Linked DNA regions of Caenorhabditis elegans. The protein of the gene in region 1 interacts with the protein of each later gene in a pairwise test. Each region holds a gene or a part of one and is shown in the gene's direction. Other genes may lie near its edges. The genes, in order: F39H12.1, ugt-60, rpl-9 and hsb-1.

Region 1 (6,947 bases):
CGTATTGTAGAGGTGTTACCTGTAACGATAATGCTGTATTGGTTGGTGAGTTTGGTGGAAACGCCGATGTCGCTTAAGGAAATACATACATTTAGGAACACATACCGGCGAGATTGTTGTCATCATGTGCAATGGGGACTCCAACTTCTCTAGTCGTAAAAACCTCAAGGTAAATGAGTTTTTTTAAAAACACTGCTCGTTGTGTTCTGCTCTATTAGTAGATTTTTGTTAGTGGGGAGTACCGAAAACAGGCTCTCATGCGCAGTAAACTCAGTCAAGGTGTATAAAGCAGTAAATTTGCAGTCACTAAAAACGGAAAATTCTCATTTCACTGACAGAATTTTCATATTTTAAACATTCCTAACAATTTTATCGGTACATTTTCATGGAAGTAGTGAGAAATCAGTTGTGGAGAATCTCTTTGAAAAGAAAATGTATTCAAACTGTCTTCTTGCTTTGATCTATGGGAAAGTTGGGCCCCCACCCATTTCTTGGCTTCGTGCAAGAAACCCCTCCAATTTCAAATAATGTTTCAGGAACATCGTTGTGCCATCACGGACATAGCCACGTGTCGTTACGATGAAATAACTGTCAGTGCCGATTCGAACGGAGAACTGATCATATGGCAAAAACCCGTAAAAGGGGTGAACTCGAGAGTTATCACAAAGTAATATACTCTAAGTTTCTGACGTAAAATGTTTATTTTAGGCAGCACATCAACGTAATAAATGTGTTGAGAAAGCAGGTGATCGTGGGAACTTTGAGAGGAATTGTTCAGTATTATTCGGTAACTACGGGAGATCTTATGTGTGAGGTAAGAATAGTTGAGGGGGAGGGAATCGGAACTTAACAGAAAATCAGGTGAAAAACTTTGGGATAGCTCAATCGGGATTGATTAAACAATAAATTCACTTGTGGGTCATCCTCAAGGCAATTAAAAAAAATCGGTAATGGTGGCCGCTAGCAATCTGGAGGTCACAAGTTCGAGTCCGGACTCGCCCCGCTAGGTTCATCCAGCCTCTATTGGGAAGTGAAGTAATCCAAGACTATCAACCACAGTCTCCGGCTAGGACGTGGCCTAAATTGTAGCCCATTGGGATTACCACCAGCCAGTGTACCTGACTCCCAGATATGCAGTGCATAGTGCTTGAAGAGCCCTTTATGGAAACATGACTGAAAACTCGGGCTTCTTCTCGATACTTTTTCTATTTTCATGCTTGTGAAAATGTTGCTTATAATAATTTCTCACAGATAAATGCTCATTCAAGACCAGTGAATAGTGTTTCTGTCGCACCGGAAAGCGCATATGTCTTGACTTCTTCCGAGGATGGCACTTTTATCGTTTCGAAGCTTCACACAAGAAAACCACATGCTTATCAAGTTAGTTCACAGAAAGTCGAGAACATTTAGGTATACACAAAAACTCAATTTCAGGTTGAATACCGTTTCTCTGACAGCGATCCGTCCAACGTCATCATGGGAGCGCAATTCACAAATGGACGCGGGAGTGCAATTGCAATTGCCGCATTTGATAGCAACGTCTTGGTGATGTACAAGATTATCAAGAAAACTGCTGTACCTGCTACATAATTATATTTTACTGTGTATCTTCAATTAATATATCTGTATTTGGCTTTTAATATGTTTAATAACAAAAAAACATTACACTCCATGTAGTCTATTTTGCTAGCAAGATTTATCTGTAAAACTAAGATCTGAGTTGTCAAAGCATTGCTTCGCAAGACTAATAATATAATAATTATATAATTTCTCAAAAATGTATTATTCTTTTAAATTCTGGCATTCGATTATGAATTCTCTGTGCATTCTCTCTTTTTCCATTTTGAATGAATTCCATCAATATTAGTAAATGAATGAACTTGTTATTCTTTTATGTGTTTTCTAAACAAAACAGGATTCTGCTAAAAAATGTATACTAGCTTCAAAATATTGCTGTAAAAATGAAGGTTTTATTGATTCTAACTCATGAAACACTCCAAATACTAGAAATCCCGTATTTCCTCTGTTAGTCTGGCACCCCTACGGACCAATTGAAATTTAGTCTTGCATGCAAGACTAACAGAGGAAATACGGTATACATTTCTAGAAGTTGAAACGTCTTAAAAAATAATTTCTCACTATCAGCAATAGCCTTTAAAACACAATTATACCCTATTTTCCCAAAACTGACAAAACTGACATTTTTTAACCTGAAAATTTTTGATTATGTTCTTATTCGCTTTGTCAAGTTGAATAAATTGAATATTATCGTTTTTCTACAAAAATAAATATTCATAATTTATTGTTCCTCCTCAGTCAGCTAGTTATGTTTAGGACAGCTGTTCAACATTCTGCCCCTCCACTCTCTCTCTAGTTCCTCTTGACGCGTAGTGCTATTGATTTATTTTTTGGCAACATGAAAATGAAGATTTTATAGAATTTTTGCATTTTATAAGTACATTTGATTTTGAAAAATAAGGGAAGTTATATTTCGACTGTATTTTTATATCGAAACTCCAATGCCAATTTATTTTCTTGAAATTTATTTAACTGTTGATTTGTTAAAATTTTCAATATACCTAATCAGAAAGTTTTCATTTGAATTTTGAAATCTTAAAATTGTATTGTTATATTTATATTTTAATATTTATTCAACACAACAATTTTGTTATCCCAATACCTCCTGGCCTAGGTTTCTCCACGACACAATGTGTCTCTTCCATTTCCTCTGTTCAACCCAATAAAACGTGGATTCCACTAAATTCCGTCACTGCTTATCTGATTCATCTTTTCTCCTTCCGTCAGAACTTTACACAACACGCTTCTTATTTACCAGCTTTTGTCTGTTCTATTTTACCTTTTTAGTCAGTTTCAGGCACAATGAATGTTAATTGGAAAGAAGCAATACTTCAAGCACAAAAACGAATTGATCAGGTGTTGGATATCAGGCCAGAAGCAGCCGAGGTTGAAGTTGATGTGCCAGATGAAGTTCATGCTGAGCAGGAATGCTCATCTCCGTCACAAGGGTCCGAGCCATTAGCTGACGATATTGTTATGTTGGAACCTGTTTTACCGCGTAAGTTTTTCTTAAATTTAAATGAATAAATATTAATAATTAGTTCCCGTTTTCTAGCATTTCATAATAATCGATATATTGGAGATGATATTCAAACAATTATTTCATCGGACATTGAACATTTAACAAGGTAAGAATTATGTAAACATAACAATAATCTGACCATAATGATAAATTTGTGGATGTATTGACTATAATTATGAGTGCACTAACCCAACTTGGATTATGCACTGACCAACTTGACAGTTGCACTGACCAAGTTGACAGTTGCACTGACCAACTAGACAGTTGCACTGACCAAACTAACAGTTGCACTGACATTACTGGTAGATCTACTGACTAAAAGAAAACATAACTTCAGAGCATCTTCACGGACAGCGTCACCGGATCGATTACGAATAATACCAATGGAGTTTGATACGGTGAGTAGCTACATTAAATGACATCATAGTATACATAACACACAGAAAGTCACTTTCGCTAAGACAAGACAATGATCTGATCTTGAACAAGGTATCAGGGAAATCCTAGACAAGATGTGAAGCGGCAGAAACTAGATTTAAATTTAGAGTGATGGAATTTTAGATTGTGATTTGAATAATGATTTTGTTTCGGGGCGAAGTCTCAGAGCAAGTCAGGGATTAGAAAAACATCAAACTTTATCAGATCGGATCCCAATCCGTTTTGAAATTTGTAGAACGTTTTTCAACAAACAATATACTAGTAAACAGCAAAACTTAGTAATCAAGTACAATACTAATTATCATTTTTCAATACATATATTATTAAAAATTACAGGATATCTCAATATCGAGTGTTGTGAGCCCCGCTGCAGCTCTGACACCTGCTCCAGCACCGGCTCCAGCTCCAGTTGCTGTGCCAGAAGTAACATTACCAAATCCTGAAGAAATTCTCAACCAAGCAATTTATGGATTGCGGAAGGAACTAACGGAGTACAAAAAAGCAAATCAATTCTTACAACACAGCCATGCAAATCTTGAGAGAGAAATGGAGGAAAATAGATTTTCCGTGAATGAAAAAGTTGTGAACATGCTTAGTGAAGGTAAGAAATACTTTTTTAGAAAATATAGATTCAATGACTAAATTTTTCAGAACGGGATCACTTTCATCAAGAAATCTCAAATCTCAAACATACTTGCTCCCAATTAACAAAGGAGAAAATTGAATTAGAGGAAAAGTACCAAAATAGCACAGATTCGTGGCACAGAACTCAAGATGTACTTCAATATTTTAGAAACCAGGTATTTTTTTTGAAAAAATTTTGAAAATTAGGCTATTGTCTTAGATCTCACAAATGAAAGGTGCGCTACAAAAAACAGAAGAAACATTTATCAGTGATTTCGAAACTTTTGGAGCAGAAATTAAAAGAAGCTTGGAGAATCAAGCGAAGAGGAAATCCTCATCACCGAAGATTATACAATTACCCTGTAACTGTGAAAACAAGTCTCGGGAGCAAACGAATCAAGTCGTCAAACATGATGAATCTACACAAACTAAATCAGTATACATTGATGTGAGTTTTTGCTCTAATGGACAATTTTTTGCACAACCGTACTCGTAAATCAATGTTTTAGGAAAGCCATCGGTGGGAGAGAGAAGAAAAGGAAATCGCATCTTCTCCAAATGGCAAGAACGGGAATGTGACCGACCTTCTGCAGATAATTGAACAATTAGAGATGGAAAAGAGACTTCTTTTGGCGCAGAGACGAAGTGATAAAGCGGAAATTGAGGTGAGATAAAAATAAATCGTTTGGGCAAATATCGGTTTTTGCATATTAGATTAATTATTATTTCGGAGGTTAATACCGCCATCTAATCTAAATACACGCTGAATAGTCCAGCACGAGAAAAGATCCTATTACGATATTTAAATTTTGTTTAGATGTTTCAAAGTTTTAAATTAAAGTTTTTATAAAATGACAAAATTATTCAAAGATGTGTAATTTTTGAATGATTTCGAGCATTAATGCAGGTTTGAACACTGAAAATATTTGAATATGATTAATTGACTAGCGGATATATGGGCCCGCCAGCCCTTCGGGAATGGGGATAGGGTTAATTCGCTTTAAGTTATTAGCAAGGTAGCTGGCGCAGGTTCTCGGCTTCGCCTCGAACCTGTTAACGGGTTATTCGAGATCTCTTTGAAATTATTTCAGGAGTGGGGTATATGTTTAGAAAACTTGACTATTCAGGTTTGAGGCTTCGCTCGAAGCTCTTACTGTGTAAAGTGAAATCTCTTTAAACTTCGATTCATTGCTCCAGGGCCGACACTGTACGAATAACTTAGGCTGAGATTTTGTTCAAGAATAATTTGAATGTTTTCAATAAAATAAGCGTGTTTTCAATCATCACTGTGAACTACAAAAAAACGGTGAAGGAAAAGGATTACAAGTGATAAGAACTTCCGAAAATCCCAATTTTTTTCCCCAATTTCAAACAGCAATCCAATTTTTTAGAGGCTGCAAGAACAACTCAATGAGACCTTAATCATGCATGGTGAAAAGATCGAGCAACTTGATGAAATCCTCGTGGACAACGAAGAATTGAAAGATATTTTGAAGCAACAAGTAAGTTGGATCATCGAAACAACAAGATTTTACTTCCCTTTTCAGGCGTTGGCTCTCACGGACAATATTGCACAATCAGATGAAAAGGGTTCTACATAGCATTTTTCACAAGTTTATTCAATTGATTACTAATTATGTAGATTTTATATGTGATATTCAGTTGATCCGAAATGTCTTTTTTTTAGTTTTTGATTCCGATTTGGCTTTCAATTTGAATTTTTTGGTTATTGAATGAAGGGTTTACTTAAAAATTACTTTTCAGCCAAAGAACTATAACAATTTTTGTTTTTTGTAGTTAACCTGGCCCAACAGTATATTCCAATACGGTTTCCATTCATTTCTTCTGAAAATGCTGAATTAATCCAAACGGAAAACTGATTTCCATTTTAGCTTAATATGAAGAAAAAAGGTTGCCCACGTATATTACACAAGTACCGAAATTTAAAAATTTTGAAAAAAAAAACATTCACCAAAAATATTTCTTGACAAAATTTAGAACTCACTAACAGTTGTCTTTTTTTTTATTCATTTGTTCGGATAAGACTTTGATAGTGAAATCATGAAATGAACATTGTTTGTTGGTTTATTTATTAAGAGATAATGACGACGAGTGTATACGATAGGAAGTTAGAAAAATAAAAGTTAGAAAATTTGAAGACAGAAATAATATTAATCTCTGGGCATGAATTCGTTGGAAAGTCTGCGCTGTGAAAAAATTTCGAATATGGTTTTTTTAGTTGTGATCAGAATGGTCGGATTGAAGGGAAGAGTGACTTCTGGATGGAGATAGGCCCTGTTCGTCCAAGTGTTTTCGTGTCAAGAAGCCTCTGAAAAAGACTTGGAGTTGCTAAGTTTGTCATATATATCACTCGCAACATTTTCAGGTACCGTTTGATTTACTTCAAATGTCTCAAAAATTATCAAACTTCAATTTTATAGCAAGTAGGTCTCCAGCAGTTAGTTTAAATAAAATAAACAATTCCCTGTAAAATACTGTCTTCTGCATTCAATCTAATAAAACATAAAACAGTGCTACTTAACCTATGACGTTCTATAACACATTCAGAAATTTTTTGCAAGGGTATAAGTAACTATTACTGATATTTCAAGAAGCAACACAAATATTTTTAACAAACCTAATATGTGCCTGAATCTTAGTTGCCGCGTCAGTATCCTCCTTCTTCATCTTATCAACGTGCTTGCGAGTAAGAAATCCGCGAATTTCAGATTGAATCTTGGTCGCGGCTCTGTCTTCCGGAGTGTCCACATCAATGGTGTAACCT
Region 2 (6,671 bases), on another chromosome or scaffold:
ATATTTTCATATATATAGTTAAAATACATTATGATTTTCAGAGTATGTCTCGAAAAGAAGCTGAATTCTTCATGAGCAAGATTGCAAAGAAGGCCGAGACCAGCTCAGACCAAGTTTGCCTGGAATATAAGGATTTCGTTAACAGTTTTTATTAAATTATTATATGATCAAATAAAATATATTTTAATGGTCAATTATCAATATTTTTTGTAATAAAGTATGTATTGTTTGTTTTTACAACATTGTTTCAATGTATCTTCTGAAAACGTGTACTCCGAACGCTTCCATACTTGATTAATCTTATCATAAAACTTCATCATCAAAATCACATGAAAAAGGGCGTGAAAAACGTGAAAGCATTTTATTTCCATTTTTTAGAAATCATTATTATTCTTATTGTTCTACTACAATGCCATTCGGAGGTGCTGCTCCAGTTGCTGCCGGCGTTTCTGCTCCAGACGCTGACGATGTTCCTTCTCCAGATTATGCAGCCACCTCAGGTCTTCAGCTCGTTCGTCCTCATAGGGTGAAGTCTTCGTGCCTTACCCTTCGTAACGGCGGAGATGATTGCTTCATGAACGTTGTATTGCAGCTTCTGAAGCGTGCTTCGTTTGAAGATCATCTCCGTACATGTTGCGTTGGTGAGATGCATGAAGAGCTGAGGAAACTGCTCTCTGGTGAAAAAGACGTTGTCGGTCATCTGAGAGGAATGCTGAGCAGTAGCGAGCTGCACAAGGGAGTCAATTCGCCGTCATTTGCATTTGTAATTTTGCTAAAAGTGAGTATCAGATATTAATACCGTATTTCCTCTATTAGTAAATATTGCAGTCTCTAATAGTCTTCCATCCCACTTTTTAGACCTGCAAAACTTTCCGGAAACGTCAGAAAATTTGCCATTTCTGAGTAAATTAAACATGAAATGGTTCAAATAATAGATAAAATATTGGAAAATGGTCGCTTTCCCTAGGTTGTTGGGCATTCGAAAAATAGTCTTACAACCTCTAATATTCTTGCAGTCTCTATTAGTCTTGCACCCTAACGGACCAATTGAAAATTAGTCTTGAAAACTAGGCATGCAAGACTAATAGAGGAAATACGGTAACTTATTTTGTAACTACCCAAAACCATGCGTGCTTATTTTATCGCCATATTCGATGCGCAAATATCACATGAATACAGTAACCCGGTCGAATCAGTCACATCAAAAAAATGGTATTTCCTCGTCGAATATGGCCGCCGTTTTTCAAATTTTTGGTGTTTTTTTGAGAAAAAAACCGAGAACGAGAATTGGAATAAAAAATAACATTAAAAGGCGAATTTTAAAAAAAGCGAATGAAAATGCGAATAATTTAGAGAAGTTTCCTTAATTTCTATTTAAATAGAGGAACTAAATTTTTCGAAGATATATTAATCTAAATTTGTTAATTTTGAAAAAAAATCAGTTCAATATAAATTTCAGGACTTGGCTGTAGAGTGTAAGAACGACGCCAAGGTTCCCCATCCCATGCGGTACAAGAGCCACGTTGTTTGCAGTGTTCAAGGCTGCACAAAGCCGAAGCCGTCGAATTGGCCACTTTTCTGTGTGAAATTGCCAAAAGGAAAGTCGTTCACCGACATGGTGCTCCAGAAGCCATGGGAATGTAAGGACCACTTGGGAAAATCGGCTATGATCGAGAAGAAGATCATAGCCGACAAGTTCAACTCGAACTTCATATGGATCCATGTTGACTCTGCTGAGGGACGTTACAAACAAATGAGGATGAAGGACAACCAGGAATTCATCATCTTTGGAGAACATTGTCGGCTGGTCGGCTTTCTGGACGTTAAGATAGTACCCGAAGGCTTACACGGAATCGTTTGGATACATAATGGCGGAGGTTGGAGCCGGGTTTCGGATCATCACAAGAAGGAGTTTTGGAGCACGTCATTCGACATGGACTCAATCTATGCAGGCGCTCTGTTCCTGTTCGAGCGCAAATAAGAACTTTGTTTTTTAAATTAAATAAATTTTTTTCAATACTGTTTTTTTTAGCCGGACAACGTTTTCTTGCCTTGAGGATGGCCCCAAGTGATTTTATTCTTTTAATAAAATATAATCCAAACAAGAAAAGGTCAAGGCCCCCACGAGTCCGACAAAGAAAGAGAGGAACAAAATAATAGTGAGACCGGCAAGCGGAATGAGAAAGAAAAAAGAGAACAAAAAGGGAATTAGAGATCATAAACATAATTAAAACCGGAAAAATATTCAAATGAGGAATAAATCATGTAACAAATTGACGGGGAAAGAGAAAATGGGGAGTATTATGGAAAATGGATTTCCAGAAGGGGACAGTTGAGGTGAAAAAATCACTAACTTTGGGTTTTATACATATAATAATCATAAGCCTTTTTTGGGACTCTGTTATTCTGATCTGATCGTTTGAGTTAACTCCTAATGAGTAAAATACGAGGTACCGCTAATTGCAAGAAAATCACAAAACTTATTCTCAAAAACGGGTTCTGATTTAAGAATTTAATCAATAAACGATGTCCTTGTAACAAATGATACCACTGATCATTCGACCCTTTTTATTATCATTTCTCCATATCAGACACCTCCTGCAAATCCTTTGCATCTTACTTATCTCTTTTACCAATCGTTCTCTCAATGTTACAATTCAGATTGTCGAAAGATCATGTATCTACCTATTTTTTGTATTTTTCTGTCAGTTGTCGATTCCCTTCGAATATTGCAAATTGTACCCGGTTTCACTAATTCTCATGTTTTATTCAATTACCGACTTGCAGAAACCCTCAGGTATATTTAACGAGGGTTTTATTTTATGAAAAAACCAAAAAAAAGTTAATAAAAATGAAAAAAAAATGCTAAATGCTAAATTGTGTTTTAGAAATAACCTCAAAAAAAAATCCGCAGTTTTTATTTAAGATTTCTCGGTCATGATGTCAAAATGTGGACTCAAATGGAAATGGCGATGCTTGACACGGGAAATAACAAACTTCCGGAAGGTGTTTCTGAATACAGAATACCAATTCATTTCACGGATACTTTGAAAACTGAAGGATTGAAAGTAATCAATTAAACATTCCAAATATCTATTTAAGAAGTTTTTGCAGGTCTTCCAATCAATGATGTTCGAATCAGGAGATGCTCATGATTTATGGTGGACTGGTCAAGAATTCAAAGATATGAGAGTAGAAGCATGTGAACAAATGCTTCGACACGATGAAAGTGTGTATGAAGATTTTAGGAAAGACGGTTTTGATGTCGCCATTGCACATTTCCATGATTTGTGTCCACTTGCAATTGCGAAGAAAATGAATGTAAAAAGAGTAAGTGGAAGAGGAAAAGATTAGGATCTAGAAGAGTATCTTAAATTTAGGACTTGATGATTTTTATCGACTTTTAATAATTTTTAATTAATAATATCTAATCATGATTAGAAAACTGCATGAAAATCCGGATGAAAACTGAAATTGCCGATATCTTTCAAATAAAACACAAATATTTATGAGATGAACTTTACTTTTTACAAGATTCATAGTTCAGAGTTTTATTTTTAAAACAAAAAATAAATAATTAAGGTAATCTGGATAACACATGGAACATCAATTTACGAATTCTCGGCTGTACAGCTTGGACTTCGAACGATTCCATCAACGATTCCGCATCCACTTTCTTCAGGTATTTGACGCGTCTAGCTCAATTTTTTAGTAAGCAAAACTTTTCATTTTCAGCTGGTTTCTCTCAATTATTTCTGGATCGTGTACAAAATACTCTTTGGCATCTGTCACTTCTTGATTTTGTGAATCTTCCTCAAAATCTTCTCGTTGACGAGAATTTGTTCTATCGAGGTTTGTATGGCTGTGTACTGAGGGATCAAACAATTCGAAAATCAAAAATTTCAGAGTTCGTCGGTGCTGACCAAGATGATTTATGGGATTTAGCAAAAACCACAGTACCATCATTATTAATTAATGGGGATAGAATGCTTGATTTTCCACGACCACTTCCAATTCATATCGCTTTTTCTGGAGAACTGGGAGTTAGTAAAGGAAAGAAGCTGGTTATGGAAAAATGGTTAGAAGATATAATTGAGAAACCATCGGATGGACTTATTGTATTTTCATTGGGAACTGTATCAAATACTACAAATATGCCAGCTCAAATGATTGTAAGTTATTTGCTTTTGCTTCCAAATGGCTAAAACTCCTATTGTTTAATACAATAAATTCAGAACTCTTTCCTCGGCGCATTCGGAAAATTGAAGACTTACACAATTCTTTGGAGGATGGAAAAATCTGTGGCGGGAGCTGAAAAGTATGAGAATCTGCATTTGGTGAAGTGGTTACCGCAGAAGGATATTATGAGACACCCAAAAATGAAATTAATGATTGCACATGGAGGCTATAATTCTTTCTTGGAAGCTGCACAGGTGAGGGATCATTCAATATCACAACAAAGAAAATATTGTCAAATCCATCAATTGGTGCTCAAATGACAAAATATTATAGAGAATCTTTTCACCAATGTATTTTTGAGCTTGCAGAAGAGCTTGAAATACGTAGACACCCCCATTTACGCTATTTCTTCACTTTTAAATTCCAAATTGTCCGAATTTCCAAAACTCATCTAGAAATTGTCATTTTTTGTCTTTGTAGACTTATTATGAATCTACGATTCTTGTATCAAATAGTAGTTTCAGGCTGGAATCCCTGCTGTTCTGATGCCACTATTTGCGGATCAGAAGATCAATGCAAAGAGAGCCCAGAGATATGGAATGGCAACTGTACTGGATAAATTAGATTTGACTATCAATAATGTTTATGGAGCCATCAAGGAAGCATTGAAACCGGAGTAAGTTTGACAGGACAGTTTAGAAAATTCACTTTTTAACAAAGTTAACATTCCAAAACCAACGAACTTATTTTTGTGAAAAAATTGCAAAAATCTAATAGTAAAAATCTTTACTAATGGAAACAGATTCAAAATATATTTTCAGGTACTCCACAAATGCAAAAAAACTATCCGCGATGCTCTCAGATCAAGTTGCTCGAAAACCTTATTCTGCACTCCGATACTCTCTGAAATTAGCAACAAGTCCGAAACCTTCTCTGTTCACACTGAAATCTCAACATTTATCATTCTTGGAATTCCATAATCTTGACATATTTTCGATTGTATTGCTAACTGCGTTTATTGTATGTTTTTAGAGAAAACCAACTAATTGAAAAAAATTTGGGTAACTTAAAAATTTGACTTTTCGAAAAAATTGTCTTTTCGGCAAAAACAGTTGCTTGTATGAAATTAAAGAAAAACAACAAAACTGTAATAAGAAGATTTGAAAATTCACCTGAACACTGTAAAGCTTTGGGAGATGCTGAAGGTTTTAAAATCATGTTTGGACAGTTTTTTGTTAATTTTTGAAACATCTCGTCTATTTTCAGAGGTTCTATAACTAATTTTTGCCGGAATGTGGAAAAAATATATCTTAAAATTAACTAGTAAATTATTCTCGGAGTAGTCGAGTAATAATAGTGCGGTACTTTTCTCCAGAACATAATTTTTTTGATTATATAGTAGTACCATCCCTCTCCTTGTTAGCTACTTTCATATGAATAAATAAGCATACATTTATAAATGCCAAAAGCTAAGATTGAAAGATCAAGTCACATACTAGTCACATACGAGTCCAATGTACGTGTGCAATATTTATTCATATATTTACATCTCAATAGGTGTAATTAACTTCCTGTTACAAATGTTTCAGAGGATGAGAAAATGTATGGTATACCAAATATTCACTTCCGTGTTTTTTTTTTTCGTCTAACAACAAAATCGTTCTTCACAGATTTACATCAGAATTTTCCACAATATAAATACAAGAAAGGTTCCTGAATACAAAAACCTGGGTTCAAAGCTCAATTGTTTTTTCTTGTTTCCACTTAAGTTAAACCGACTCGGTAACAAATCGAGCTTTTTTTTTAAATAAAAACTTCAACGCGGAAGTAATTTTCTCTCTTCTAGAGGTTTTGATGTATCAAAATTTTAGATTTTGAAAAAATATGAACCACGTACTCGGCATTTCGTGTTTTCTTTCTCCCACCCTTTTGCCACCTTTCTACCACCAAAATGTAGAAAGGCGAAAAATGGATAGGGAAAGGCGGCAAAATGGTGGCAGATTGGTGACAATAGGTGGCAACGATGCTATTATTTTTGTTTGTTTTCACTCTGAAAATAAATAAAAACAAACTGCAATTAGGTTATACAATCTAAATTTATTTTATGAAACATCATATACATCATTAAAACATTTTAAATAATTAAAAATTCGTATTTTTCCATAGTTTGCTGCCACATAGCACGAATTTGCCTGTTTTTCGTGGCATTCTCCCGTCGATTTTCGGTAATCTGCAAAAACATGAATAGGAATATGTTTATTTATTAAGTAGAATTTGTAAACCCTTACCTTTCAAGATCCGGTGAGCAACCAGTTCAGGTCGAGCCGTCTGCTATCTCGTAAAAAAAAAATAAAAAAAAATAAAAAAAAAAAATAGATTTAAAAACGTTGAAGAAAAAATTGTTTAAAAAAATTAATTCGAAGAGTTATCCGTGCCAGGATAACATCCGAGAACACGTCAGCACTATCTTGGCGCACAATGAAAGGTGACAA
Region 3 (4,891 bases), on another chromosome or scaffold:
AACGGATGTATGCCTTTAAAAAGTACAGTAACTTCAAACTTTCGTTGCTGCGCCGATTTTTTCAAATTCCTCAAACAATATTATATTAGTTAGTTAAAAAGTGAAACAATTAAAACACACATTTCTTAACTAATCATTAAAAAATCGATAAAATTCCCACATCAACACAAGTTTGAAAGTACAGTACTCTTTAAAGGCGCACATCTTTGCACATTTAACAAATATTTGTCGTGTCGAGACCGGATCCCGTATTTTTGGCTCAAAAATCGCAAAATTTCGCGTCTGGGTGATGATTATTTATATTTTAGCACCACAAGGAGTCCCGATGGCTCGGGATGGAAAAATCACAGATGCTTTCAATGCAACTACCGTAGTCAATGCAAACTATGGTGCAATTGCTCAAGAAGATCCAACACAGGATGCTTATGATAGATATGTATCCACGACACGTTAGATCGAAGATGCTTAGGCTGTATTTGAAAAATAACAAAAAAGCAATACAACAAAATCCACGACAACCAATACAAAATCGCCTTAGATCTCACCTAGTTTTACTTATAAAAAAGCAATAAGTCATGATTTCTATTTATATTTAACTTATTTTTTGTCACTTTGAATTTGAATAAAAACTGTTTTTCAATTGTAAAATTATTTCCGAACGTCATTTATCAATGATAATGGGCATAATAATGGTAACAAAACAAAGATGGATTATTAAAAGAGATAAAATCAACAATTTCAACAAAACAAAACGAGAGAACACAACTTGCATATGATTTATGCCTCTGTTGCCTTTGCCAACTTGGCCTTCTTCTTCAATTTCAAAGCGTCGTTGCGATTGCGTTTGAACGTGGTCTTCATACTGTGGTACACTCGTTGGTGCTTCTTGGAAATCATCAATTCGCGCATCTTCAACTCCTGTCCCTTCTCGACAGTCTCGTGGAACTTCTCTTTGCTCTTCTTGTGCATTTGACCAACAGCAATGTGAATACCCTTTGGTTTTTCTGGTTTCACCTCCTTTCTTCGCATTGGCAACTCGTCCATCGTCTTCGGAATTGCTGCTTCGAGATCAGACACGTCTGAACAATATTTTATTAAAGGACGTGAATTTAATATCTCGTTCCTTCAGATCAGATTGAAAAGATAGAATACTACACAAAAGTAAAAACAAAACACACCTTTGCCCATGCTTCTGAGTTCTTCCAATCTTTCGAACGGAATGTAGTCTCCAGCCTTCTCAGATGTAAATGGTGAGAAATGTGGCGGAAGAGCTACTCCTGGCATGTATCTTTCCGTAGGCAGCTTCCTGCGAGCATTCAGACAATCGAACACCCACTGTGGCTGTACATAAAGTCTATTCACCTCCAGCTTGTCCATTGGCCGATCGACAACGTGGTGACTGATATTTTTACTGTCGGCCTTGAGATCTGTAGGGCCTCCTTCCCATCCAACAATTCCACCTCCATTACGAATAATAAAAGTGAGTGCTTCTTTTGGGCACTCTCGATTCAAGTAGAAAACGCAACCTTTGAACATAGTCTTGATGCTTTTTGCTTCTCTGACTTTTTGCGCGAGTGCATCAGAGTCTTCACCAAGAAGGTCCAACGGCTCATCGTCTTCAGCCTGCTCAACATCCTTTCTCTTAGCCAATGGTTTCGCCAAACTGTACACCTTTTCTTTGTATTCTTCAGTCTCCATTTCATCAGTTTTCACGACTTGCCCGATCTGTGGTGGGTAGAAGAGTCCGATGTCTTGATAGAGCTTGAAATTGACAAACCCCAACATGGCAATGTAAAACTCGACGAAAGTCACGAGGACTGTGAAATCAACATCGGTGACATGTGGAAGACCACGCTCGTGTGGAACAACCCAAGTGATTTTCTCTCCATGTACCTCCGCTTGATAGTAAATTCCCTTGATCGAGATGAAGGTATTGCGAAGAGATTGCGATTCAATCACATAGTGCATGAACTCCGCAGTGAGTTTTCGGCAACTGTCAATCATTCCTTCTTTGAGAACACGAGTATGTGGAAGCATAGCGAATGTGAAGCAAAGGGACAAGGCGTCATCCATATCTCTGAGAGCTGATCCAAATGTTGGGAAGCGTTCCTTGACGATAGTGTCCAGACTATAGACTGGCTTGTTTTCGTACAACTTCTTGAGTTTATCCTCTTCCTTCTTTGCTTTCAAGTGATTCAATTTACGCAGGAACACCTAAAAACATTCAAAGTTTATTTTGTTGAACAAAGATAAACTTGCCTTATAATCTCTGAACTTATTGATGATGGGTTCGTGGGCGAGAAAATTGATGTCTTTGCGATAATAGAACACCTTATTTGCAGTTGAACCCTTGTTTGCTTGCTTCTTGTGGGCCGGTTCGTGTGGGTAGATTCCCTGAAAAATTTGAATTCGATGACTAATTTAAAAATTAATGTACTAACCTTAATAATACAAAGTCGGCGGAAGTCCTTCAGTGTAAGTTGAAGCTTCTTCAATGCTTGTTTCCGTGACATATATGCCACGGCAGCTCCGGCTGTGTACTTTTGTTTGAATCGGTCCTTCATTCTGCTGAAAATACGAAATAATAAGACGAAGCTTCCGACGGAATTAACGAGACTATCAAGACACCAGGAAAACTAGTTAGCTGAATATTACTGAATTGCTAAGATAAATTATAAATAGTTGATTTTCTATGTAAATATGAGTGATGCGCGATAAAAAATGGTGAAAACGACCACATTTGGCGAAAAATTGGTGTCGAAGTGAAGAGGGCACAGAAAAGTAGGAGGAGATTCGAAGAGACAGAGAACGCAACTGCCGCACGGTTTCTATTTCGCTGAGTATCGACGCTATACAGCATGTGCGATACGGAGCTTATTTCAACACTGAAAAATATTCCTTCTCCCGACTTTATCTTTCTTCTAACGTTGTTCACTAATCTCCATTTCAAAAGTGTTAGTGCCGTTTCAATTGCAGTTTTTCTTACATGTTTCACGATTAAGTAAAACGTATTGAACCGAACTCTGTTGATTTTTAATTCTTGATATTTACTTTTAATGCGTTGCAATTCATTTTATCGTTTCCAGGTAATCCAGGGAGATCATGAAGCTGATCGAGTCTAACGACACTGTTGTGTTCCCAGAGGGAGTCACCTTCACCGTCAAGAACCGCATCGTCCATGTCACCGGACCACGCGGAACCATCCGCAAGGATTTCCGTCACTTGCACATGGAGATGGAGCGTATCGGAAAGAGCACCCTCCGCGTCCGCAAGTGGTTCGGAGTTCGTAAGGAGCTTGCCGCTATCCGCACTGTCTGCTCCCACATCAAGAACATGATCAAGGGAGTCACCGTCGGATTCCGCTACAAGATGCGTTCCGTATATGCCCATTTCCCCATCAACGTTACCCTTCAAGATGGAAACAGAACTGTTGAGGTAAGTGAAATTATTCATGTGTTTCATAATTCAAACTCACACATTATTCAGATCCGTAACTTCTTGGGAGAGAAGATCGTTCGTCGTGTCCCACTTCCAGAGGGAGTCATCGCCACCATCTCCACCGCCCAAAAGGACGAGATCGTAGTCGAGGGAAATGATGTCCAATTCGTATCTCAAGCCGGTAAGAAAACTTATTTTGTTTATTTCACATTTAAATTATTATTTCTGCAGCTGCCCGTATCCAACAATCCACCGCCGTTAAGGAGAAGGATATCCGTAAATTCCTCGACGGAATCTACGTTTCGGAGAAGACCACCATCGTCCCAACTGACTAATTTCTAGTCGCTTTTTGTTAATGAATTTGTTATCAAAATCTGAAGTTTTTATTTGAATTAGCGAACAACGAATCTGGTCAAAGGTGCTAATGGAGTGCATTACTAGAGAAAGCGACGGTGATTGTATTATCTGGACTATTTGTACAAATTTTGTGGTTCTGTAGATAATATTGGGTTTTTTCCAAAATTCGGGAGAAACTTTCCATGGCCATAGCGCTGTTTGAAAATGTATCGTAATTTGGCAAGATTTTGGTAGGTCTTAAAGGCGCATAGACTTATTCAGATGGGTATCGGCACACAAAAAGTTTACGGTAGCCTTTTTTTTGCGGCTGCTTCCTTGTTTCGGTTCCATGCAAAAAATAAAAACAATGTAATTTCATTGAAACGTACAAGGAAAATATGTAAACAAGGAAGCAGTCACAAAAATTAAACAAAAGATAATACCATAACTATGTTGCGTGGTGAGACCCATTTGAATAAATCCATGCGCCTTTAAGAGCACATGTCAAAAATTAATCAACTCAATAGCAAGGATGAAAATTTACTACAAACTATTTTGAAATTTGAAGATCTGGCAATAAAAAAATATTTTTAAAAAAGTATTTCTGTGGTGATGTCACTGAGGAGATGCTGAAATGATGAAATCTGTAAAATATATTAGAAAATGTTTAAGTTACGGTCAAAAATTCCAATAACTCAGTTTTCCCCTAGCAAGTTTTTGAAGACGACCAAGAAAATTGTGTTTCTTAATAATACAATCATGTTTTTTTAAACGATTGTAGTGGCTCAAACCTGAAACACTTCTCGAAATTTCTCAGAAAGTCCAAATTCAGTGACCAAGAACTAACTGCACAATTTGAAAAAAATTACAATCCGACATATGTATATATATATATATATATATATATCGTATTTCCTCTGTTAGTTAGGCGCCTCTATTAGTTTTGCATCAAAAATCACCAATCGAAAATTAGTTTTGCACCCTCTATTAGTTTCGCACCTCTAATAGTTTTGCTCCCCTTCATTTGTTCCCTATTTTTAGGAATTCAAAAATTTGCATTATAAAGTCGTTCTAAAAATTAGGAAAACTTTTACAGACTTGGTATAACAAGTCAAAA
Region 4 (5,325 bases), on another chromosome or scaffold:
ATTGCCTGAAATCGAAAATTTAAAATTGATATTACGCAGACGCAAAAGTTCGCGACAAAAGTACGGTACCGGTCTCGAGGCGACAAATTTTTCTTTTGTCGAATGAAACGAATGAAGATTTCTGCAGAATTTTAATTGTTGAAATATAGGTGTTAATTTTGTAGTGCTAAATTGATAAATATTTTTTTTTATCAAATAACTAATTAAAATCCATAAAAATTCGGCAGAAATGAGAGTTTGAAATTACAGTACTCCTTGAGGGCGCACACATTTTCTTATCTAACAAAAAGTTGTCGTGTCGAGACCGGTTACAGTAGTTTTCTTGCAAAATTATCCCCTCCTTACCGCTTCCCGATTGTTGGAAGATCCGTTAGAAGGATCAGCGAGGTCGAAAACTGCATTCGTTTCGATCGATTGAATGAATGTAACAAATTTGTGAAGTTTCCGACGTCGTGAAGTTGGAAGCGAAAGAAGTACCAATTGAATTGCTTCGATCAACCATTGCTCTCGGATTTCGTAGGATTTTTCGTCTGAAATTATAATTTTAAGTAAAAATCGTGAAACTGTAATAAAAATAAAATTCTTTACCTTGTATTTCCAAATTCACTCTATTATCAAATGGTGATAACGCACGTCGTCGATACTTTGAAGCTCGAATTCCGCATGCTGGAAGATCACGGGAGAATCCATCGACCATCAATCCAGCCTCCTCAATACTAGACGCAGACGAAGAAATCATCACTTTCGACCATCGCCTTGCAGGCCCATTGTCAAGCATTGCCGCGAAGCTATCGATTTTGCAGAGGAGATTAACAATAAGAGAGCATTCATCGAATTGAAGAGGAGCATTCAAGTCTTCGAGACGATTGACTAGAGTTATGAAAATCCGATTGACGTTGTATTCCAACCCTGTGTCCATTTTTTTATGCGTGACGAAGGGATATCGAACAAGATAATCCATGAATTGAATAACAGTTTGGGGATAATCGGGCTGCAGTCCCTGACATCTCGATTTGACGATTCCATCAGCATGATCTATTTCAATCATGTTCCACTGAATATCGTATCCATCGACTTTAGATGCCCATTCACAGGGAAGAGTGCGATCGTAAATTTGTTCCAATCGTCCAAGCAGCTCTGTTTTCCAAAATGAGCATTCGTTGTTTGCCTGGACAGAGTCTGCAACTGGAACAACCGACGATCTTCTCATGATGGATTCGTACATTCTTCCACGCGATAACAATGCTGGATTTGATCCTGCGATGCTTGTCCGATGATTTTGATATCTGCTAGGAACTGCAGGCAACGGTCCTTGTGGATGCATAAAGACGACGTCTTTCGGGGCTTCTCGAATTGGCGGAGTGGTTACTTTCTGACTACGAAGAGCAGCTTCAGCTTTTTCTTGTTCCAAAACACAATGATTTCGATCAAGGGATGCTGAACGACGGGTTGGTTGATTGACTTTCGTGTGATTTCGTCTTGATTTGAAAAACGGTAACCAATCATAAACCTTCTCTTTCATCTCAGAAACTTCTCGTTTTTCAGTATATTCTTCTGTACAGATACTTTCAAGTGATCTGTTCAAAATCTTCGGAGTTCGTTGTTTCTTCGGGATTTCATCGTCTTTATGATCATCGAAACCGTGATTCTCAACGCCGCCTGAAGAATTATCGATGCCTGCTTTGTCAATGTTGCCATTAGATCGCGATAATCTTCGTGGGAGCCTTGCCTTTGGTGGCCGGTGCATTGTCGCGGCAGGAGAGGCAGGTTGAGCAACTCTGGAAATATATTTTATAGCACAGTTTAAAATGATTATTTGGCATACTTTGCACTTTTGCGAGCACCACTGAAAGACGCTGATCGACGTGATCGGGGCTTGGGATGCTTCAACTCATCCAAAGTCTTCATGAACAAATATATTCTCGATTCACTGAATGGCCTCCTTTGCTTGACTTTCTTCGGGAAGGCTTCTGAAATCACGTTCATGTCCATCATGAACTCCAGGAACTTCTGCATCTTGTCTCGTTCCGGAACATTGTTAGGGATGATTCGTGGCATTTCAATCATCAGAAAATCCACAGCTTCTTTCCCGCTGAAACTGTTTTCCGCAGTGGCCAATCCTCTTCTGTTCGTTTTGAGTGATAAGTTTGAACGAAAATGCCATAGAATTTCGTCGAACTGAAAATCAGAATAAAATTTCAAAAGACAAATGTGAAACATTTTAATACCAGATGCGTCGCCTTGAACTTCTCCGATGAGTAGTCGGCAGACATCACGGCAAGACGGCCTAAAACTTGAATTTTGATGGTTTATTGATAAATTTAAGAACTTCTTAAAAGAAAACGAGATTTCATCACGAAAAAAAGCAAGAATGAGGAAAAATTTCTGGAAACTTCCTAAAAATTGCTGAAACGAGTGAAGTTTTGGCGCCGAAGTTTTGTTTACGGACCAAACACACGAAAACACGACTTGTCACACAACTTATTAGCTACAGTAACCCATTCTGCTTTGAAAATTTCTCTTTTTAATTAAAAATTCCTCGATTCAGATGTTTTTTTTTTCTCAAAGTGTTTCTAATAATTATATTTTCCTCGAAATCCACACTATTTTACATAAAACAAATCATCTTATTCTGCTCTTTTCGCCGTTTACACCATCTGTCCTTCTCCAATGACTCCTTCTCTGCGTCTCTTTCACTCTCTCGCCGCCCTCTTTTTCTCTGTCGTCTCTCACTTCGACGTACTTTCTCTCGTGTTGTTGTTCCCGTACTTTTGTGTGTTCCACTGTTTGTGAGATGACGGCTAGTTGCCTGGTACTGGATTCTCACCAGTTTTAATTGATTTTTCATCAAATTTTCTTTAAAAACTGATTAAACTTTGTGATTTTTATCGTATTTTTACAGATTTTCAGTTCAAAATGTCCGATGAGAAGTCTACCACACCAACCGCTCAACTCGACGCTCCAGCCGATGGAAATATGAATGATTTGACGTCGTTGGTACGTAAATACTTGAAAAAAATTGTCAATTTTCTAAAAAATCCTAAAACTCAGATACAAGGAGTTCTGCAACAGACACAGGATCGATTCCAGCACATGTCGGATCAGATTATTCGGCGAATCGATGATATGACAACGAGAATCGATGATTTGGAGAAGAATATCAACGATTTGCTGCAATCGAACCAAGTTGAACATCCGCCAAGCGCTCAATAAGATTGGTACGGAATGAGAAAAATGGGAAACATTCTCAAAAATTTCGGTCGATGTTTTGACCACTCGTTATTTTTGAAAAACAGTGTTGTTTTTGATGTCGACTTTGAAATTTCAAAAAAAAACAATAATATGGGCCGTGGGACCCAATTAGAAATACAGTAAAAAACGCTCTTTGGCCGAATATTTTATAATTTTCATGTATGAAGTCAATCCTTTTATTCCTTCTTAACTTTAGTTTGAAATATATTTAGATTTCCTAGCGCCTTTCCAATCGATTTACCACGTGGTAATCAGGCCGATTGCACCGTTATTCCAAGACTTTATCATTAAAAATTAGTATAAAAATATAGAACTTCACCTATTAATTTTGGCTGAAAAATTCGCCGAAGAGCTCAAAAATGGTCTGAAAGATGCCAAATTTCCACTAAAAAATCAATTTGTAGAGATTATTAATAACTAATCTCTCTTCAATTTCTATTTTTTCCAGCTCTACACTCTTCCCAAATGAATCATCGTCGCTTCCTTCTTCATCATCATCATAATTCCAATTCGTTTTGTGTGCTTCTCTGCGTCTCTCCTACATACATATACTCTTTTCACGTCTTCTTCTTCTTCTTTTTCTACTGATTATGCACGTGTTGAGAGGATTCATGACTACTATGTTGTGCCTCCTGCTTTTAATCTCTTATTCAATAACTTTTGTTGCATTTTATTACGATTTTCGGAATTATTTTATTTATATGTGAAAACACAAATTTTGCCAAAAATTCAAATTTTTGTGCATTTTTAAAAAAAATTTTCAATATGAAACTATTCATCTTACTTTTTCTTCTTCTTCCCTTGAATTTTTTCTCATACTAAATGTTGATTTCTCACAGTTTTTACTAACTATTTCGCATCCGGATTTTCAGATAAAAAACATATAATTTCAGAAATGGGAGCTCAAAATTCGAAGCGAAAAGATCTAAAAAATATTAACGATGAGGATTATGCACATTTTATGGAAAAACTCAAAAAACACACAGATGGAAAGGACAAAATGACGCGAGACCAGTTTGTGGTGAATTAATTTTTAGAAGGAAAATACATTTTAATATAAAATTTTCAAATTCCAGGCAATGTTCATACCGATTCTGGGTGAATATTCATCACAATTCTACTTTCGTTTGGTAAAAAACGAGCCGCAGGGCGTTTTGCTCGCTAAAACAATCCTAAAATGTATTGATACTGGACTGGGACATTTCGATCAGCTCGCCGATATGCTCAGATTCTGTTTTGGAGATCAAAAAGATCAGGTTTCGAATTTATTAATTTAAAGAAAAACTTCTTTTTTTTTTGTCAGATAATGCGAAATGTTGTGAAAATCTTCTGTGAAGGAAACAAATTCACCCGAGAGGATCAGGTCCGTCTCTACGATTATTTCGAAACAGAAAATACAAAACCAGTGAGCGAACTGGAAAGCTTTTTCTCAATGTGCCCACTGTTCGCCTATTGTGCTTCGTTCATTTTCCAACGACTTTTGGATAAAACTGGAGACTCGAAAATGCCAATTCTCTCGGACAAGACTCATTTAATGGGAAATATCGATCAATTAGTGCTCAACTCGCACCTTCCATTCGATCGACGCAAAAATTGGACACTTTTATATTCAAACATGAAACACGGGCAAAGTTTCTCACAATTGGTTAAATGTATTAATGGAGAAGGTCCTTGTATGATTGTGATCAGATCAATGAAAGGACGACGATTTGGGTTTTTCGCCTCGCAAGGTACACAAGAAATGTTGTGTCGATTTACGCAGCTCGTGTACTCCTCGAGAAGAATTTATACCTTATGATTTGCAGAAGATTTTACAGATTTTACTTTTTTTGCAGATTTTCTAGATTTCAGATCTTTCTTTTTGTAGACTGAAACCGAGAAATTGTAGTTTTACAATAGCAAATACATTTTCAAAAATGCTATAAATTATAGATAAATTGATGATTCCAGTTTTAAATATCAAAAAAATTGACAAACAGTTTCAAAAATTGAACATTTCATCCAAAAACTGTAAAATCTTCCTCCACGAGGAATACACGAACTGCGTAAATCCACACATGGCTGTGTTACAAG

Evidence for each region.
Region 2: the proteins of F39H12.1 (region 1) and ugt-60 interact in a two-hybrid assay, tested with the Caenorhabditis elegans proteins (one large-scale study listed by BioGRID).
Region 3: the proteins of F39H12.1 (region 1) and rpl-9 interact in a two-hybrid assay, tested with the Caenorhabditis elegans proteins (one large-scale study listed by BioGRID).
Region 4: the proteins of F39H12.1 (region 1) and hsb-1 interact in a two-hybrid assay, tested with the Caenorhabditis elegans proteins (one large-scale study listed by BioGRID).

What each region holds. Positions count from the first base shown.
Region 1 is NC_003284.9:831,909-838,855, forward strand, and holds F39H12.1 (Pericentrin), read left to right. Parts: upstream 1-2,869; 5' UTR 2,870-2,880; coding exon 2,881-3,076; intron 3,077-3,133; coding exon 3,134-3,206; intron 3,207-3,437; coding exon 3,438-3,498; intron 3,499-3,874; coding exon 3,875-4,139; intron 4,140-4,189; coding exon 4,190-4,338; intron 4,339-4,382; coding exon 4,383-4,610; intron 4,611-4,671; coding exon 4,672-4,827; intron 4,828-5,553; coding exon 5,554-5,664; intron 5,665-5,709; coding exon 5,710-5,763; 3' UTR 5,764-5,913; downstream 5,914-6,947. Other genes in the region: wdr-54 (WD repeat-containing protein 54 beta-propeller domain-containing protein), read left to right, coding at 1-45, 96-169, 537-667, 709-814, 1,252-1,380, 1,435-1,590; F39H12.3 (RIIa domain-containing protein), read right to left, coding at 6,398-6,491, 6,801-6,947.
Region 2 is NC_003281.10:9,675,008-9,681,678, reverse strand, and holds ugt-60 (Putative UDP-glucuronosyltransferase ugt-60), read left to right. Parts: upstream 1-2,627; 5' UTR 2,628-2,675; coding exon 2,676-2,797; intron 2,798-2,926; coding exon 2,927-3,068; intron 3,069-3,114; coding exon 3,115-3,330; intron 3,331-3,582; coding exon 3,583-3,682; intron 3,683-3,735; coding exon 3,736-3,852; intron 3,853-3,906; coding exon 3,907-4,172; intron 4,173-4,235; coding exon 4,236-4,433; intron 4,434-4,703; coding exon 4,704-4,855; intron 4,856-5,000; coding exon 5,001-5,211; 3' UTR 5,212-5,359; downstream 5,360-6,671. Other genes in the region: putative calcium-binding protein C07A9.5, read left to right, coding at 42-155; C07A9.13 (USP domain-containing protein), read left to right, coding at 410-778, 1,460-1,981.
Region 3 is NC_003281.10:7,571,027-7,575,917, reverse strand, and holds rpl-9 (Large ribosomal subunit protein uL6), read left to right. Parts: upstream 1-3,086; 5' UTR 3,087-3,102; coding exon 3,103-3,435; intron 3,436-3,486; coding exon 3,487-3,619; intron 3,620-3,669; coding exon 3,670-3,773; 3' UTR 3,774-3,813; downstream 3,814-4,891. Other genes in the region: mfsd-6 (Major facilitator superfamily associated domain-containing protein), read left to right, coding at 309-454; lpd-7 (Pescadillo homolog), read right to left, coding at 778-1,079, 1,179-2,214, 2,260-2,394, 2,442-2,564.
Region 4 is NC_003282.8:12,564,804-12,570,128, reverse strand, and holds hsb-1 (Heat shock factor-binding protein 1), read left to right. Parts: upstream 1-2,902; 5' UTR 2,903-2,916; coding exon 2,917-2,997; intron 2,998-3,051; coding exon 3,052-3,213; 3' UTR 3,214-3,218; intron 3,219-3,700; 3' UTR 3,701-4,034; downstream 4,035-5,325. Other genes in the region: Protein let-99, read right to left, coding at 1-5, 346-530, 589-1,778, 1,826-2,178, 2,229-2,273; eak-7 (MTOR-associated protein MEAK7), read left to right, coding at 4,148-4,273, 4,329-4,508, 4,556-4,982.